Arabidopsis thaliana: one gene and its partners. The protein of the gene in region 3 interacts with the protein of the main gene of each other region in a pairwise test. Each region holds a gene or a part of one and is shown on either strand. Other genes may lie near its edges.

The links.
Region 1: the proteins of MUB1 (region 3) and UBC8 interact in a two-hybrid assay, tested with the Arabidopsis thaliana proteins (one study listed by BioGRID).
Region 2: the proteins of MUB1 (region 3) and UBC10 interact in a two-hybrid assay, tested with the Arabidopsis thaliana proteins (one study listed by BioGRID).
Region 4: the proteins of MUB1 (region 3) and UBC9 interact in a two-hybrid assay, tested with the Arabidopsis thaliana proteins (one study listed by BioGRID).

Annotation. Positions count from the first base shown.
Region 1 is NC_003076.8:16,674,223-16,678,067, forward strand, and holds UBC8 (ubiquitin conjugating enzyme 8), read left to right. Parts: upstream 1-1,619; 5' UTR 1,620-1,668; exon of another isoform or gene 1,669-1,831; 5' UTR 1,832-1,849; coding exon 1,850-1,913; coding exon of another isoform or gene 1,914-1,919; intron 1,920-2,260; coding exon 2,261-2,397; intron 2,398-2,559; coding exon 2,560-2,664; coding exon of another isoform or gene 2,665-2,799; exon of another isoform or gene 2,800-2,857; coding exon 2,858-3,001; 3' UTR 3,002-3,287; downstream 3,288-3,845. UniProt on the Arabidopsis thaliana protein: Accepts the ubiquitin from the E1 complex and catalyzes its covalent attachment to other proteins. Mediates the selective degradation of short-lived and abnormal proteins.
Region 2 is NC_003076.8:21,631,487-21,636,149, reverse strand, and holds UBC10 (ubiquitin-conjugating enzyme 10), read left to right. Parts: upstream 1-1,902; 5' UTR 1,903-2,051; intron 2,052-2,123; exon of another isoform or gene 2,124-2,150; 5' UTR 2,151-2,160; coding exon 2,161-2,230; intron 2,231-2,587; coding exon 2,588-2,715; intron 2,716-2,831; coding exon 2,832-2,936; coding exon of another isoform or gene 2,937-2,963; exon of another isoform or gene 2,964-3,204; coding exon 3,205-3,348; 3' UTR 3,349-3,583; exon of another isoform or gene 3,584-3,702; intron 3,703-4,103; 3' UTR 4,104-4,129; downstream 4,130-4,663. Other genes in the region: AT5G53310 (myosin heavy chain-like protein), read right to left, coding at 56-87, 177-235, 740-1,058, 1,271-1,493. UniProt on the Arabidopsis thaliana protein: Accepts the ubiquitin from the E1 complex and catalyzes its covalent attachment to other proteins. Mediates the selective degradation of short-lived and abnormal proteins.
Region 3 is NC_003074.8:11,332-16,422, forward strand, and holds MUB1 (membrane-anchored ubiquitin-fold protein 1 precursor), read left to right. Parts: upstream 1-1,898; 5' UTR 1,899-1,994; intron 1,995-2,127; exon of another isoform or gene 2,128-2,393; 5' UTR 2,394-2,522; coding exon 2,523-2,655; intron 2,656-2,993; coding exon 2,994-3,158; intron 3,159-3,288; coding exon 3,289-3,340; coding exon of another isoform or gene 3,341-3,344; exon of another isoform or gene 3,345-3,596; intron 3,597-3,912; coding exon 3,913-3,916; 3' UTR 3,917-4,575; downstream 4,576-5,091. Other genes in the region: GAUT13 (galacturonosyltransferase 13), read left to right, coding at 1-273, 367-648. UniProt on the Arabidopsis thaliana protein: May serve as docking site to facilitate the association of other proteins to the plasma membrane.
Region 4 is NC_003075.7:13,915,021-13,919,340, reverse strand, and holds UBC9 (ubiquitin conjugating enzyme 9), read left to right. Parts: upstream 1-1,840; 5' UTR 1,841-2,047; coding exon 2,048-2,207; intron 2,208-2,640; coding exon 2,641-2,768; intron 2,769-2,934; coding exon 2,935-3,039; intron 3,040-3,132; coding exon 3,133-3,276; 3' UTR 3,277-3,810; downstream 3,811-4,320. Other genes in the region: SLAH2 (SLAC1 homologue 2), read left to right, coding at 1-447, 548-579, 667-1,051. UniProt on the Arabidopsis thaliana protein: Accepts the ubiquitin-like protein SUMO/SMT3 from the E1 complex and catalyzes its covalent attachment to other proteins. Mediates the selective degradation of short-lived and abnormal proteins.

The DNA of each region.
Region 1 (3,845 bases), on a different chromosome or scaffold from region 3:
GTTTATGTCTTCTTTCCGGGAAGAGTCCGTTGAGCGCAAGCAATACGTTGTAAAGTAAATAACCCTAAGCTACGTTTTATTTATAGAAAACAATCAAAGGAAATGTTTTGGTTTGGGCTGGGCTGGGCTTTCATTGTACCTGCTTAAGAGGCCCAAGGCCCAACATGCTTCTTCTTTTTCGTCTACCTCCAAATCAGCCCAGTGTGTTTGTTCTGGAATTCATAATTCATAGTTTCCGATTAAAAAGCAAGAGACCAGGTACAATCTCAACCTGTGGATTGCATGATAAAGATGATTTTAATCGGAAACCGTAACGATTCAAAATTGAAACAAAAGTATTCATTGAGGATATCAAAATTCGATAACCTAACGCATGTGTCTCGAATTAGAGAAATCAAATAGTGTTTTCTGGGCAAAATCAAAACCAATCGACACAAATCGATCTTTTGCGAAAAAAATACTAAAAAGAAAGGCAAACCCGTGTAAACTTCATCTTAATCTCATGAGTAAGAGTTTCCAGATAAGCATATCTCCGTGATGAAACTTTCTCCATTCCATTACCACCACTGATTGAAGATGCGATCACCGGAAAACAACCCAAAAAGCAAACACCGTCTCCATCTATCGGTAAGGAGAATTCGAGAGATTGATCACAGAGTAAGACGAGAGACTCTTTCGATTAATGCTCTCATTGTTCTCATCTGAGAATTCCCATGGCCACGGCAAATTGTGGTAGCGGCGGAGGAGAAACGGTGAGAGCTTGTTGCGCATCTCAAAAAGAATGAATACATAAACCGAACTATACCGACCCAAATTGAAATATAGAAACTGATATAAACCGAACTATACCGAGCCAAATTGGAATTTTTGAAATTGGAATAAAACTGAACCGAGCCAAATAGTCTCGCACTCTCACCAAACCCAGTTATCTTATTAAATTTTCACCAAATCCAGTTTATCTTAATGCATATCCTATCTTTTCATTAGTCCATAACTAATTCGTTGATTATTGTTCATTAGATATTTGCAGTAATACAAATCCCACTATGACAACATGATGACTCGCATAATATGACATTCAACTATTGTGAGATTACAAAATTTAAAGATATTTTACTTCTTTTTTTTCCAAAATAAAATTTACATTCTATTGATAAAATGTAATTAGTATGGATAAATTAGAATCATAAAACATTAGTTTGAGATAGAGATTTAAAATAATCATGTCACAAAAACTAGATAAAATTTCATTAATTATGATTGGTTATCTGGTTTCATTTTTTATTTTTTACAAAAATATAATCAGCCGTTCATATCTCTACACTTGGCTATAGAAATAGAGAAATATCAAATATGTACCAAAGAGGACAATTTTACAATTGAAAATTCATCGTGATTCAGAATCATTTGGAATCTAAGTGGGGTCAAATCAAATATAGCCCACCCTTTATAATTTCTTAAAAAAATTAGATAGTATTTTAAAATTATAATGTTTACAGATATTTCTTAAGCAGCCATTATTACTAAAATAAATCATAGTTTATCCAATTAAATTATTCGCTTCCGTTTCTTAAAGCATAAAAACCAAAACTTTCTCTTTCGTTTTGCTTTCTTCCAATCATCTGCAGGAGTGAATCGCAAAACCAAATTTGGAGGATTCTTTCTGAGGTATCAAAGCTTTCTCCTTTTGATTAACCCACACGAGAAAAAGCTCTCTTCTTTTGTAGGAATTCAAAAAGCTCGTCTCTTCTTGTTCGATTCAATCAGATTAGAAAAAGTTTCTGGATTTGAGCTGGATTGATCTAGGTTTAACTTGGATTACTTTTTGTAGGGGTTTCTCAGTGAGAAAATGGCTTCGAAACGGATCTTGAAGGAGCTGAAGGATCTCCAGAAAGACCCTCCAACCTCCTGCAGTGCAGGTTCACTTCAAAAATCTCAAATCTTTCTCCTTCTTGTTGGATCCATTACTTTATCTATGATTATCTGGTAATATGCCAGAGATTTAGCATTCTAGAGATCACAAAGGTGAAAGTTACTTTTCAGACTGATCAGAGTTGAGAAATGTAGAATCCTTCTTTGCGTTGTGGTGTTGTCTACTTATGTTTTGGCTTATGTTTATCTTAAGATTTTATGATGAATTTCAGTTTATTAGTTTCTACTTTTCTCTAATTATTAGACTAATCAGAGTTAGAAGAGTTGAGAAATGTAGAATACTAGAATCCTTCTTTGGTTTGTGGTGTTTTTTTTGCTTATGTTTTAGTTTTTGCAGGTCCAGTTGCTGAAGACATGTTTCATTGGCAAGCTACAATTATGGGTCCTGCAGAGAGTCCGTATTCAGGCGGTGTGTTTCTCGTTACCATTCACTTCCCTCCGGACTATCCATTCAAACCACCAAAGGTATTCAATATTGGAACAACTCTTAGATTACCACGAACTTTAGGTTTAGTAGAGTTCCTTGAAATTCTTGGACCTAATTAAAACTTGTATTTGCCCCCAAATCAAATCAATTTCTTGGCTTAATCTTGACACTTTTATTGGTTGTTTTGTTTTTATTTGCAGGTTGCATTTAGGACGAAGGTGTTTCACCCTAATATCAACAGCAACGGAAGCATTTGCCTTGACATTTTGAAAGAACAATGGAGCCCTGCCCTCACCATTTCCAAGGTGACTCTCATTTTTCAGAAACATCGGTTCTCCAATGTTCGTTTATGTTCCAAAAGTATAGCAAGAGCATCTACATTTTCAGCTAGGATTTTGCTCAATGCACAAGCTTTGCTTCTTGAATGTTTGTGTATGTAGTAAGATCATCATCTCTAGTTTTTAGCTGTTTTAATGGAAATGTTTATGCAATTGGTAGGTGTTGCTCTCGATATGTTCGCTGTTAACAGATCCAAATCCAGATGACCCTTTGGTACCAGAGATTGCACACATGTACAAAACCGACAGAGCCAAATACGAGGCTACTGCAAGAAACTGGACTCAGAAGTATGCCATGGGCTAAACAAAGATTCGTATGCTTCAGCACCTGTTTATGTTTTCATGTCTGTTTCTTTCTTCTTCTTGTTTTAACTTTAATAAAAATGTCTAAAATATCAACTTTTTCGTCTGTACTATATATGTTTATGGGTTTTATTATCATCATCTTTATCTGAAATTTGAAGATGGAATTCTAAAGCTTGAAGGTTATTTGTTAAAGTTTATTTACTAGTGAGTGATGAGAAACATTGTGTTGTTGTTCATTTCATTTTTTCTTTGTCAGGAATATTCATTGACTTGTTTTCTTTCCCAATATTTTATTTTACCACAAATATGTAGCTTATAATCACTATCTCGTAGACACACCGTCGTTAACTACGAGAAAAAAAAGAACAGACCATTTTACCAAACTGTTGTCTTTTGCCGACGAAGTCACCGAAGCCGGCGGCGGAAGAAAAGGTAAAATTACAAAAACTCTCTTCTGCAAAGTGACCATTTTTCACAGTGCTAAGTACAAATTTGTAGTCTTTAACCTCACTCACAGTTCATATATGTCGCATTTTGCATCAACAACAAAAAAAAACCTAATCTTTAGGGTTTATTTCTATTTGAAGGTTTTGTGGTGTTCATGGATACAAGAAAGATTCCGTTGTTCTGCTATTGGAATGGTTGTATTAAAGATGGTCCTGATGGTCCGTTCTATGAAGGGTCAAGTCCAAGAGGGATCAGAGTTGATAGCAAAATCGAACTATCCAATTTGTTGGATGATCTGCATCGACTTACTGGTTTTGAAAAGGGAAAGTTTCAGATTGATTTGATTGGTAGGTACCCTTCCATTGTTCAACAACAGATGGTCAAGTATGTGCGTT
Region 2 (4,663 bases), on a different chromosome or scaffold from region 3:
ATCTTACTAGTGGTCCCTCCAAAGTTTATGAACAGCGAGGAAAGTTGAGATGTAGTCACTTCCACACAAATTTGGTCTTGATACCCCCTGAAAAATAGTGGTAGAGCTTGATGAGCAAATAAACTAACCACAAACTTAGATTGAATCACAATATCCAGAATCTTATTCATACAAACCTTCAGATTCCTCAAAAGAAACTTCCTTTACTAATGAGGCAGATGCATTGTACTCAAATCTGGAATGAACACAAGGAGAAACCATTATCAGTATAAAACACAAACTGCACATATAAACCAATAGCTGAGTTTTACGATATGGGAGATATACAAAATGTTTCTACGGACTATTATCGTGATTGCCATTTGAGAACAGTTTCAATCAAAACTAGAATATGTCATCTAACAGTATTTAAAATATAGTTGTAACCATTTGTATCTCAACGTACTAATTTCAGTAGTTATCTCCTAAAAGTGTTAATTCTTTATCTTCTTCCATAAATATAGATATGATTAATAGGTACAAGTGGATCCTCTGGTCTCACCACTAACTAATAGCCAAGTCACTTAAGAAACAGAGCTCACTAAGTTTCAGAGACTAAAAAGACCCACATCAGTTCTCAGTAACACAATACCTGTAGTGTCAATATCAGGAAATGAGATGAAAATAAACAATTCTCATGTGCATGGTATTAGCATTCAAAGAGGAGACATCAAAAACCAAAAATTGCGGTCATAGTTACCTGTTAGAGAGAAGCACTTCAAGTTCATAGTCAGAAGCACTTTTAGTGACATCTACCATGACCTGAACAAGCTCAGTCTTCCTAGTGCTGGCCATGAAGAGATCATATTCCGTGGGAATAATGATAGCGAAGAAGTTATCACTCAATTTGCTTAAACACATCTTCTCTACTGATGACAAAGCAATTCTCCTGGTCATAGCTTCAGTCTCGGGATCAATTAGATAGATCGCAAAATCAGTGAGGATAAAAATACGCCGTTTCATCTTCCCCGAGCCGGTGAACTTCAAAACTTTATCAGCAAAAAGAATCGATGTATCACCTATAACAACAATGAATCACCTTCTCAACATCAAACACATGCAATTCAAGGTGAATCCAATCATTAGCAATCCAAACAACCACATAAGAAACTATAAATCGATGCCACAATTCTACAGCTGATTCAACTATTCCTCCAAGTTCTTCGATTCACAAATTGCCTCTCAATCTCAAATTCATCAAATAAAAACCAAAAGTTTGGAGAAACCTAACCTTGTTTCTCCAGAATTCGCATCAATCCAGGACGAGAAGAAACGTGAAGATAGTCACCACGATGCTCTCTATAGCGAGACGCTTTCCTTCTGACTTTACCTCCAGCGAATGGCGTGTGATCTCCTCCGTCTACCTCACCCACACTTCGATCTTCATCAAAATCAGGTGGAGGTGATTCTTCGCCGTCGAACTTCGGCCCCTTTTGCTCCTTCAACCGGTTCATTCCTCCCGGCGACGAACTCGAAATCGGAATCGGTTAGCTTATTCTCAGATTCTGCGTTAGAAAAATCTCCAAAGTGAGAGAGAAGACGTGGCTTCAAATGATTCGATCGATTAAAAGATACAAATCTCAGCCGTTAGATTATATGACTTCATCGCAACGCGTTTCGATGCCACTTGATTTGAAATTTATAATAAACTCGCAGCCGTTAGATTTCAATACCACTTGATTTAAGGATAGGATATCAACCGTTAGATTAGATGACTTTTTAAGACGATGTCGTTTCAATGCAACTTGATGTTTTAATTAAGAAGCGCCGCGTCGTTTCAAGGTCCACCGAATAATAAGAGGGTTAAAAGTAGAGTCCACTAGTCAAAGAAAGTAAATAATCCACACGGTATTTATTGTAGACGTGAGCACAGAGAATAATTCGTATTCTTCGTCTTTCGTCCACCACCATCTCTATTTTCTTCCTTTCCCCTAAGTCTTGGTTCTTCTTCTCTCTAATACGAGAAGAAAAAGGCGAAAACCTCGCCAATCCGATTACGCGAAAAATCAAAGGTATTGTCTCTGTAGCTTTTGGATCTATTACTTATATTTCTCACGGATTTATAGCTTCTCTGATTCGTTTAGAATCTTTGTTTGATTTTTGATTTTTAGGTTTTTGGATATGGCGTCGAAGCGGATCTTGAAGGAATTGAAGGATCTCCAGAAGGATCCACCTACATCATGTAGCGCAGGTACTTGTTTCGTGTTTGGATTTTGAGATTTCATCTTAAAAAGTTTTGTTTCCCTGAGCTGGTGTTGATAGATCCGGTTTTTTTGTTCGCTTATGCTTGGATTTGTTTGGATTTGTGTGTTTATGTGTTGTTTGGTACCGATCTCGAGCTAAGTACTCGTTTTACTTTTTAAGATCTGGCTAGAACTAAATTTGGTTTATCTCGTTTCTGATTTCTCTGGTGAAGATCTTATAAAGGCTTAAAACTCGTTTCATTGTCTTAGTTTCTGGGGTCTGGTTATACTTGTGAAGAAAAAACTGTCTCTTTGTTTCCTTGTGCTTATGTGGTGTGAGATTGAGTTTATCTTTCTGTGTACAGGTCCTGTTGCTGAAGACATGTTTCACTGGCAGGCAACGATAATGGGTCCTTCAGAGAGTCCTTATGCTGGAGGTGTTTTCCTTGTAACCATCCATTTCCCTCCGGATTACCCATTCAAGCCTCCTAAGGTGATTCCAATATTTTGAGAATTGTTATCAAGTATGTTTTGCCAAAGCTCGTATGTTCTTTATGGTTGCTTCATTATCTCATTGTTCTTCATTATGGTGTGTGTGATGATATCTAGGTGGCCTTTAGGACCAAGGTGTTCCATCCCAACATTAACAGCAACGGTAGCATTTGCCTCGACATCTTGAAGGAGCAGTGGAGTCCTGCGCTCACCATTTCCAAGGTTCGGTTTCTCTTATTCTTTTGTTAACAATAGAAACCCACCTTAAAACAAATACTCTCTATTAAAACTGCTTCAGAGGCAGTAATCTACTCTTATCAAACATGCTTTTGCTCCTTAATCCCTAGTTGAAGTGATAAGATTGAGCTGTCTTCATTAAACTTTGACTCATTTCGGTTGTCTCTGAAACATTAAGCTTATTAGACTCATTGAGGATGAAAAATTGTTGTTTGTTATCGATCAGTTCTAACAACTGCTTTGCAATTAACAGGTGCTGCTATCGATCTGTTCTTTGTTAACCGATCCAAACCCGGATGATCCTTTGGTGCCCGAGATAGCTCACATGTACAAGACTGACAAGAACAAGTACGAGTCCACTGCACGAAGCTGGACTCAGAAGTATGCCATGGGCTAAATGGAAAATCCCACCTACTAAATTATCTCTTTATGAAGAAAAAAATCTGCCTTAATTTCTATGTATGATTCGATAGACATCTCTTTGTGTCCTTTTAACTTTCTGAAGACAGGACCAAATGAAGTGGGTCTTGTTTTAAACGAAACAAAAAAAAACATCATCTTTGTGAAAACTAGAATCTGATCATCTTCTGTTGTTTCTTCTTGTGGTGAAATTATGATTTGATGTTTTCGTTGTGTGATGAGTTGCTACGAGTTGTTCAAATTTATCAAACTAGTCTTCAAACTTATCCAACTGGTCTTCAAACTTATCCAACTGGTCTTCAAATTTACTCTGAGTTAATCGTTGTGGCCAATGCCCGTCATGGTGACAATGCGTTCTGTTGTAGCACGTATGTTGTAGAAAATGAGTTTTGTACCTTGCAAGGTGCGCCTGTGGATTGTGGACTACATACGTGATGCAACAAACATTTTAAGTATGCAATAATATCACAAACAATCCTATATCCATTAAACGACATGTATTATGCATGTTTGAACTCAAGTAGTAACTCAGCAATGATTCACTAGTACAAAACCACTAAACACCCTATTTTGTTTATAAGTTATAACAGTTTTCTTATTCGTATCATCCATCATATCATGAGTTTGACGAAAACATGTTATTTGGTGAAGTCAAATTATTTGACAATACAGTATTTAATAAAATAATAAATAGCCTGATTATGTGGAATGTGAGTGGTATAGAATCAACAGAAAAAAAAAAAAGAGTGGTATAGAATCTAATACTACAGATAATCTATAGATGAATGGGTATGGACTGAACTCAAGTTATGTAGATGGGCTTCGATGGACCAAAGATCCATCGCTCGTCCGAGCTTAAAGTATCACCCCTAACAAATTATCTTTACAAGTCCACAGGTAAGAGAAAAATACATTTAATAGTGTTGTGCTATTAGAATATTTTTGAATTTCTCTTCTCTATAAGAAAATACAGTATGTTACTATCTTTTTTTCAAAATTTATCATTATCCCACGGATCAGTGTATTAGAAGAGTATCAGTTTGAACTTAGAAATGATAACCAACAGGCAAAACTTACTCTAGTTAAGAGCAAAAGACCAAATTAAACATCTGCTTTAAGTTTAACAAAATAAGAAATCATAGGGACTATAGGTTTGATTTAGATATCCATGAAACTTGTAGGCTAAGAACTCTAGACATTCAAACGCAAAATTCAAACAATTGGTGTCGACTGAAAGAAATAAAATAAAAATCAGTGTTCCATGTTTTTTGGTTTAGTTAAGATAGGTGTTC
Region 3 (5,091 bases):
TTAGATGATGATATAGTGATACAGAAAGATTTATCTCCGCTTTGGGATATTGACCTTAACGGGAAGGTTAATGGAGCTGTGGAGACTTGTCGAGGAGAAGACGTATGGGTTATGTCAAAGCGTCTTAGGAACTACTTCAATTTTTCTCACCCGCTCATCGCAAAGCATTTAGATCCCGAAGAATGTGCTTGGGCTTATGGAATGAATATCTTTGATCTACGGACTTGGAGGAAGACAAATATCAGAGAAACGTATCATTCTTGGCTTAAAGAGGTAAAGTATCAGAGAAGCCTGTAATGTTTTGAGTTTTAGATTCGAAATTGGCAAATTATTGATCATGCTTACTGGTTTTGCTTTGATGTGCAGAATCTGAAGTCGAATCTAACAATGTGGAAACTTGGAACATTGCCTCCTGCTCTAATAGCATTTAAAGGTCATGTTCAGCCAATAGATTCCTCTTGGCATATGCTTGGATTAGGTTATCAGAGCAAGACCAACTTAGAAAATGCGAAGAAAGCTGCAGTGATTCATTACAATGGCCAATCAAAGCCGTGGCTTGAGATAGGTTTCGAGCATCTCAGACCATTCTGGACAAAATATGTTAACTACTCCAATGATTTCATTAAGAATTGTCATATCTTGGAATAGCAAACAGAAAGCTTGCATATAATCTCGAAGCAGACTGGGGATTTTGCGGGTTCTGCAGATTTACTCGGAATTTAGCTGGACCATGAAAGACCAGTTGCAGAGCAGCAGAGAAAGAGAAAGATAGAAATAAAGATTCATTCTTCTGTAAAAATAGAAGGTACCCTTTTTGAGATTCTTTTTGGTTTTGAAGTAAAGATTCCAATTTTGGATCTGTTATAAGAACAAGGAAGGTTTAAGGACATCACCAGAAGAAATTGGATTTTGGTCATGATCACAACAGTCCAAGGACCAACAACACACTGTTGCATTTGCTCCACTTGTACTCTTTTTATTTTTTTGGTTCGATTTTTGACAGTTAAAATTCCACATATTTTTTACTAAATGATTTAGTTTTAGGGATTTTATATGGACATTATTGTTTTGTTAAGGTCTCTAATTGATCAATCATAAGACTTTTCTTGGTGCAGAAGATTTTTGGTCAGATGCAATGTGCTTATCTCCTCCTCTGTCCTCTCCTATCTCTCTCCGTTTGATGTTATTTTAGATAAGATATCTAACGAAAATATGTGTTTATGACAATATTCACTATTTAGTACTGTAAATACCACACTTTTTAATATTAATTTAATGTCTTTTGTAAGAATCTTACCATTTGACCCCAAAAAATACTTGCCAATTATTTGTAAACTTGGTGGGGATAAATTAATTAATGATTGCTGATATGTCATGAAAAAAGTAATCTTTTTAGTTTAATTGCAGTGATTTGTCCCACAAAAGCAAAAGCTTTTTACATGCAAGTAAATAACTAATTAAAATAAAAAGTGTTTCAAGAATTATTTGGAACCAAAAATAGATAATAATGATTGTTGATGGATAAATTAAAAGTTATTGTATTCTTTATGTGAATGACAGATATTACAAAATAAAGTTAAAATGATATATATGTCATGCAAAAGGTAATCTTTTTAGTTTAATTTTGCTGTGATTTGTCCCACAAAGAAGCAAAAGCTTTTTACATGCAAGTAACTAACTAACTATTATTACTTGCATAAAGAATTTCTGGGAACAGAAATAAAATAAAAAATTAAAATTTGTTTCTGGATTAAGTAAGTAGTGCGTTGTTTCCAAGTAGTGATATCAATATCAAATTGTCGAATTTACACGAAGAACAAAAATAAGGAATCGAGAGAGAGAGAGAGATAGGCGCATATATGGGAAGAAAATGAGAGAAAAATGGAAACTTTGACCGCCATTGAACACTCACGAGATCTCTTCTTCTTGTATTTCTTCTCTCTCCTCTCTGTCTGATGCGTGTTCTTGATTCATCGGCTCAGATCAGTCACCAAGTAAGATTTTGATTACACCTGCGAGAGAGAGACCTAATTAGGGCTTTTCTTTTTCCGGCTTCCTTTCAAATCTGGCTGGAGATTCCTCGTTTTAAAGTTTCCTCCTTTTTTTGGATATTCCCCTGTTTAATTGTGCATTCATGTTTAGATCTCTTTTCTTCTTCTTTAATTTCTCTCATCTTTTAACATTTATATGCAATCTATCTATCTTTTACATGTGTATCTCTTTTCAGAATCCTCTGTTTATTGCTGTTTTGCATGCCGATTCATTTATTCTCTGATTACAAGATCATCATCATTGCTTTAAACCATTATATATATAGATTCTCAGGTTTCTTGTTCATCTTCACAATCACACTTATTGAAGAAAAAAATTGTTCCTTTTTTGGCTCTTTGCAGATAGAATAAATAGCAAACAAGATCCTCTGTGGAATTTGATACATAGAGAAACTGTCTAGTGCTGTGGTGTCTTTTGAGATTTTCTTGTGGTTCTGTGGATTGTTTGTTGGTTGGTTGCTTCTTGGATAAATGGCAGAAGTCCATAATCAACTAGAGATCAAGTTTCGGTTAACCGATGGTTCGGATATCGGTCCTAAAGCATTCCCTGATGCTACAACTGTTTCGGCTTTGAAGGAAACTGTTATTTCTGAATGGCCAAGAGGTCAGTTTTTTTTTATGCTTATTTACTCTTATGGCTAATAAATTGTAATATCCTTAGGCACTGTGTTTTGAGATTGTAAAGGCTTGAATCTTCTTGGAACAATGGTTTTGCTAGTTATGAAAATCATGTCCCAATACTATATCTTATGCAAAAGAAACTTCACAAATTTTTTGAGTAGATCAATTCGCACAATGTTACTCACCATCCGTAGAGTTGTACCTGTTCCTGTGATTGCTTACTTGTTCTGTTATCGGTGAGCCTAACATGAACCTGTGTTCAACTCTTTGTACTGATCATACTACTTGTCATTTTGTTCTCTTGTGTTTGACTAATGATAGAGAAGGAGAATGGGCCGAAAACAGTGAAAGAGGTGAAGTTGATAAGCGCAGGGAAGGTATTGGAGAACAGCAAGACGGTTAAAGACTACCGAAGTCCTGTCTCTAATCTCGCAGGCGCTGTCACCACAATGCACGTTATCATCCAAGCTCCGGTTACGGAAAAAGGTAAAACATTCTTTAGATTATTCTCTTGTTTTCTTAGCTCCTTCATATTCAAAGAGACAGCAGCCTCTAGTGTAGGATCAAAATCTGTTGTGGACCTCCTGACAGAGAGATGGTGTTGTGTTTGAAACAGAAAAGAAGCCTAAAGGTGACCCGAAGATGAACAAATGCGTCTGTTCAGTCATGTAAGAGAGTAGCAAAATCTCAAGAGAGACTCATCAGATTTCTGGTCCTTAAGTTTGGTCTTTCTTGTGGTTAGTATAGATTGTTTACTAATACAGATACAGAATTAAAGAGTATTGAACCATTTTTTTTTATAATAAAAAAAAATAGTATAAATCAAAGCTCTACTCTAGCTTGTTGCAAGATTGAAAGAGATCATCAATAAATCAAGGTACTGGTGATTCAGTTCCTCTTAATGGAGTCTCTGTTTTAGCTCTATTTCTCAGTTCCTCTGCATTGGGAACAAAATGGACCTGAAACCCTCTTTATCATAGAAGAGTTCCAGAATATTAGTATTGTGAGACTAAAACTAGAAATATCTCCAAATCATCGGTAGAGATGAATTAAGTAGACTGTTGTTCTCTGTTGGCAGAGAATTGTGAGACTGAACTCTCAACAACAGATGAAGAAATAATAATGTATCATCAAAGATTTAGAATTGAAAGCAAAAAGAGACAAATAAAACAAGTTTAAAGCACATATAAAGCTTAAAACATTAAAAGTAACAGAGGCGATCTGTCCTGCTGTTGCGCAGGTAGACGACTAGCAGGGGAAGAATCAACGAGCATCAGAGAATGGTATGGAGGAGAAAACACATTGAGGCATAGGTTCCATCTTTTGGGTGGTGAGATCATACACAAATATTTGGACGCCACTGAAGTAGATAGAGTTCCTTTTGATCCCTGGGACGCCACTGGGGACAACAGTGATACCCATGTCATAGATCAATGCTTCATCGCCCAAAGAATCGACTTTCACCAATTTGCCACCCACTTGGTTTTTCTTCTAGATGTGAAAATATAATGTTTTGCTGTCTTGTACTATACTTGATACCACCAAAAACTCTCCGGATACTGTGACTGCAATGCGTGTCCTGGAGCGGCGTATCAATTTCCAATAGAGTTTTTGATCTTTTTGCTGAAGAAAAGGGTCAAAATCGTGATGATTGAACGAATACCAATCAAGAGACAGAATACCAATCAAGGGTCCAAATAGTGACAAGAGAATGGGCATAACGAAGGTAGAGCTTTTGATGAGTGTAGACAAAGTCTTCAAAACACTCCAAGGGAAAGTCGTGCCACTTGTTATCTCCTTTCTTGGTAAACACACGAAAGTCGTACTCCAACATTACAACTAGGTAATCTTTGGTTTTATTGTCCATCCGAAAACAAGCTCGGTCGTATCTTAAGTAACTCCTTAAATATGGCTTATTGCTATCGGGTAGATCAATCCTCTCACCAGCTAAAGGAGATCCATACTAAGAGGTTTCAACAACAAGAGCCAGCTACCACAAGTCGTCAGACAACGACTCTGGTCTCTGGGGAAAGTCAACACCAAGTTCTCTACTTCTGTAAACGTTGTCTTGATCCTCCGGAACGTACAACACACAACTACTACTGTGTTTGTTGGATTCCTCCTTGGGAGAGAAGAGAATCAGCCATGGAATCTGATTTTGGTCAGGGCCGCAGCCTCTCGAAGCAGAGTGCCACTACCGATTTAGCTCGATTAAGAGATATCAAACTCAATCGTTTGAAAACACATCGCAGCAAGTCCGGACATAGCTCCGACCCGTTTGCTTCTTTTTCTTCTTGTCTCCCACGATTTGCTTTTTTTTTTTGCTCAAACAAACATCTATTTCGATAGTGAAACCCTAAGCGCTATATAAATTTGTTGTAATTATCAAAAATGAAGACGTCAAATATAAAACTCTTGA
Region 4 (4,320 bases), on a different chromosome or scaffold from region 3:
GCACTTGGAATCCCACACTCTATCATCTCACATCTTCCCTCTACACTTTGGTACTTCCTTATGGCTCCCATCTTGTTTCTTGAGATGAAGATTTACGGACAGTGGATGTCTGGTGGACAAAGACGCCTCTCCAAAGTCGCCAACCCTACAAACCACCTTTCCATTGTCGGTAACTTTGCAGGAGCACTTCTAGGAGCATCCATGGGGTTGAAAGAAGGACCAATATTCTTCTTTGCCATAGGGTTGGCTTATTATTTGGTTTTATTTGTGACTCTCTATCAGAGACTTCCCACGAATGAAACCTTACCTAAAGAGCTTCACCCTGTTTTCTTCCTCTTTGTGGCTGCACCAGCCGTCGCTTCCATGGCCTGGACCAAGATCTCTGCCTCTTTCGATCTCGGTTCGCGTCTAGCATACTTCATCTCCTTGTTCTTGTACTTCTCTCTGGTAGTTTTTGTTTTCATTAACAGAGTTCTAGTGAGCTAGTGCTGAGTTTCTTGTGGTACAAGAAATGTAACAGCTTTACTTCTTGTGATTCTTGTTTCAGGTTTGTCGGATTAACCTTTTCCGGGGATTCAAGTAAGCTGTTTCTTGAACTGCAAGGATCTAATTTACCAAACCAAATAACATACATGTTATCTGACATAATTATTCAAAAAATATCAGATTCTCGCTAGCTTGGTGGGCTTACACGTTTCCAATGACGGCAGTGGCCAGTGCGACGATCAAATATTCAGACGAAGTCACGGGAGTGGCAACGAAGATACTATCGGTTGTGATGTCGGGAGCAGCAACTCTGACGGTGATAGCTGTGCTTGGGTTGACGGTGATGCATGCTTTTGTCCAACGTGATCTCTTCCCCAATGACGTTGTCATTGCCATAAGTGCAGAACAACCGAAGCAGAAGAGATGGTTCAAACATCTCACAAAAGAAAGTTATGGAAATAATGAGAGATGTCCCAAGATTTTGGATCCGGAAGATAATCAAATAGATTTAGAATCTCCTCCTTTAGTAAATGTAGATAGTTCCACGGTTCAGAATTCAAATTAACAAAAAAAAAAAATGTGATGAAAATTCATGATCTTTGTTAATTAACTTCTCATGTACAACACTATAGCAGTGCTAATAATAATAAATTAGCGAAAATCTTAATTATTTTGGTAAATTTTAGTTGCATACCATTCTTTTTACTGATCATGATAAATTACTTCTTCATTTCAGCAAAAATATAAAAACTATAATCACTTTGGCTTATTCTTTCGTTAGATTTAGTTATTATAGTATTGTTTGATTCAATTCAAGTAAAAACTATTTGAGTTATAGGCAAACTTAGTCACACCAACCGCAACCTTCACAATTTGTCTTAACAAGTTAGATCATATTTCGTGGAAATAATGTCTAGCTTAACATCTAATTTGTCGAATATATCTTAATGTCACTGTTATGTTAATTCATCCTCCATCTTTATACTTTGTCACCAAAACGAATCGTCTTGTCACATATGACATATGACAGTAAAAACAATGTAATAATTTCCTACACATCACGTTTTTGAAAAAAAACATCCTTCATCAACCGCTGGTCAATCTTGAAAGCATGGTAAATTCATTCAAATTACGTCAAATGATTCGTTCTACAAAACTCTCAGCCGTCGGATCATACGACTTTTGACTAAACCACTTAAACGACGACGCTTCGACGGGATTGGAAAACATCGGCGCCACATGATGATGATACGAACAACCGCGTTATTTTATATGTGCCGTAGGTACAACGCTGAGTTAGGCCCACCCAAAAAAAAGTTTGACATTATTTAAAACGAACGAATCTGAAAGAATAAAGCAGCAGAGTCCACTAATCAAACGAACCAGAATTTACCCGCACCCTATTTATTGTGGTCGCGACCACACAACATTTTCAACTTCTTCTTCTCTTCCGTTTCACCACCCTTTCTTCTCCTAAATTCGAAGAACCAAAACCAAAAACGTGAATTCGGAGTTATGATTTTGGATCTTCTTCCCGTCTTTATATATAATTTTCTGGGTTATGTTTTTCTTCTTCTTAATTCATCTGACCATTGGATTGGTTTTCGATTGCAGAGTCTTCAATTGGAATTTGGATCGTGGGATTTTGGAAATGGCATCGAAACGGATTTTGAAGGAATTGAAGGATCTGCAGAAGGATCCTCCTACTTCATGTAGCGCAGGTACCTATTCTTTTAGTCGATTTATCAACTTTGATTCAATAATTATGTTCCTCTTGCTGGATAATGATGGGTCGTTGGTTTTGATCTTCTTTTGAGCTGGTTTTTTATGTGTGCGACGGTTTGATATTGATCTCTCGTTAGCTTAGATCTAATTATCCTTGATTTTTAGGTAATTCAGCTGCTAATAACAGAAATTTGCATACTTCATGGTAACACTTGTTTGTGATTTTTCTAGGAATGAATCATAAAGGTCAATGTTCAAACTTGTTTGCTCGTTGATAGATCTGGTTTCATTTTTTGATTTCCTTGGATGAGATCTTAGGATTATAACTCTGTTGTTCTCTTCTAATTTTGCCCCTTTTACCAACTTCTTCTTATATGCATGTTGTTGCTTTTCTGGTTTGGTATTGAAGTTTTGGTTAAATGTTGACAGGACCCGTTGCGGAAGACATGTTTCATTGGCAGGCCACTATAATGGGTCCATCGGATAGCCCTTATTCTGGAGGAGTTTTTCTTGTAACCATCCATTTCCCTCCAGATTACCCATTTAAGCCTCCTAAGGTATATTCAAATCTCTACAGCTGCTTCTTCTTCTTTGAATTTTTTTTCCAACTTTACTTCGGCCATCATTTTTCTGTTGCTAATATCTTCCATCGTTTATCTATTGTTCTTTTCTCTGTGTTCTTGATTTCATTGCTCTCTATGTATGTTGTTACAAAAAATGTAGGTGGCTTTTAGGACGAAGGTGTTCCATCCAAACATTAACAGCAATGGAAGCATCTGCCTCGACATCTTGAAGGAGCAGTGGAGTCCTGCTCTCACAATTTCCAAGGTTTTCTTTTGTTCTTCCTCATCTTTATCATATTAGAACCATAATTTTGCAGCTTTGCTCTCCAGGTGACATCAATTTTGTGTGGTGCAACAGGTGCTGCTATCGATCTGTTCTTTGTTAACGGATCCAAACCCAGATGATCCTTTGGTCCCTGAGATAGCTCACATGTACAAGACAGACAAGAACAAGTACGAGTCCACTGCTCGGACCTGGACCCAAAAGTATGCCATGGGCTGACACAAATACTGTCCTTAAGGAAGAGCCCTAATAATTAAACTCTTCTTATTTCTATGTAATGATCTTTTATAGACTTGTCTGTCTTATAAAATTTGTGAAGACAGGATCAGTAAGAAATTATTTGATCTCCATTCTATGGAATTGTAAAACGTAAATCATCATCCCGTCTGCTGTTTCTTTATTGCGTGATGCCGATGCGTCTCTGTGTTTATCAAGGCTCATATTATTTTGGATTTTATTCTGTCCAAAGCCCAAACTAGCTACAATCGTAAGCCTTTCCGTTTTCGTAAACATTATTAACTTACATACGTAACATTTTCATTTTAGTATTATGTGGGCAATGATTTATGTAAATGGTGTATGGGGCCTAAGAGTGAAGTTGTTCATGAGTTAAGATTGTGATTGTGATCCATCTGGAACAATTTAATAAAATGGGACAAAGGAATTATCACTTTGAAGTTTGACCAATTTAAGATTTACAAAAAATAGTAAAACTATTAAAATCACCTTTTCCCCAAATAATATACTCAAACGGGTTTAGCCATTAGTGCTACTAAACATTATGGTATAAAGACCTTGAAAAAACGGTTACTTTTTTATGGTATAACCCAACTATTATGACACTTTTGTGTTCAAGGTTCTGTTTCAGTGATGGAGTATAGTATATTTTAACATAATGTTTATCCCACGAATTAGATTCCTCTTCGATGGACACATGTTGTTGTTAAGGTTGGGAGCTTATGAGGTTGGCGAGGTTTAAAGCAGTAATCAGGGCTTATTATGTTGAGATTAAGGTTATGATTTTATAATTTCACGTTAGTTTGTTGACGATTTATAAAAAAAAAATGTTATGAATGCATATTTTGCTTAATGAAAGTGCTAGTGGACGCTTGATCAATTCATGTTAATCTTTAAAACTCTTTATCTTAAGATTCAAATCAAAGTTTATTTTCTTTCTCGAAACTCCAACACTTGTATTTCTATATATTTTGAGTTTTGGGTTTACCGAGGCTTCCAAGTCCATTCGAATAAGTTTTTAAATGT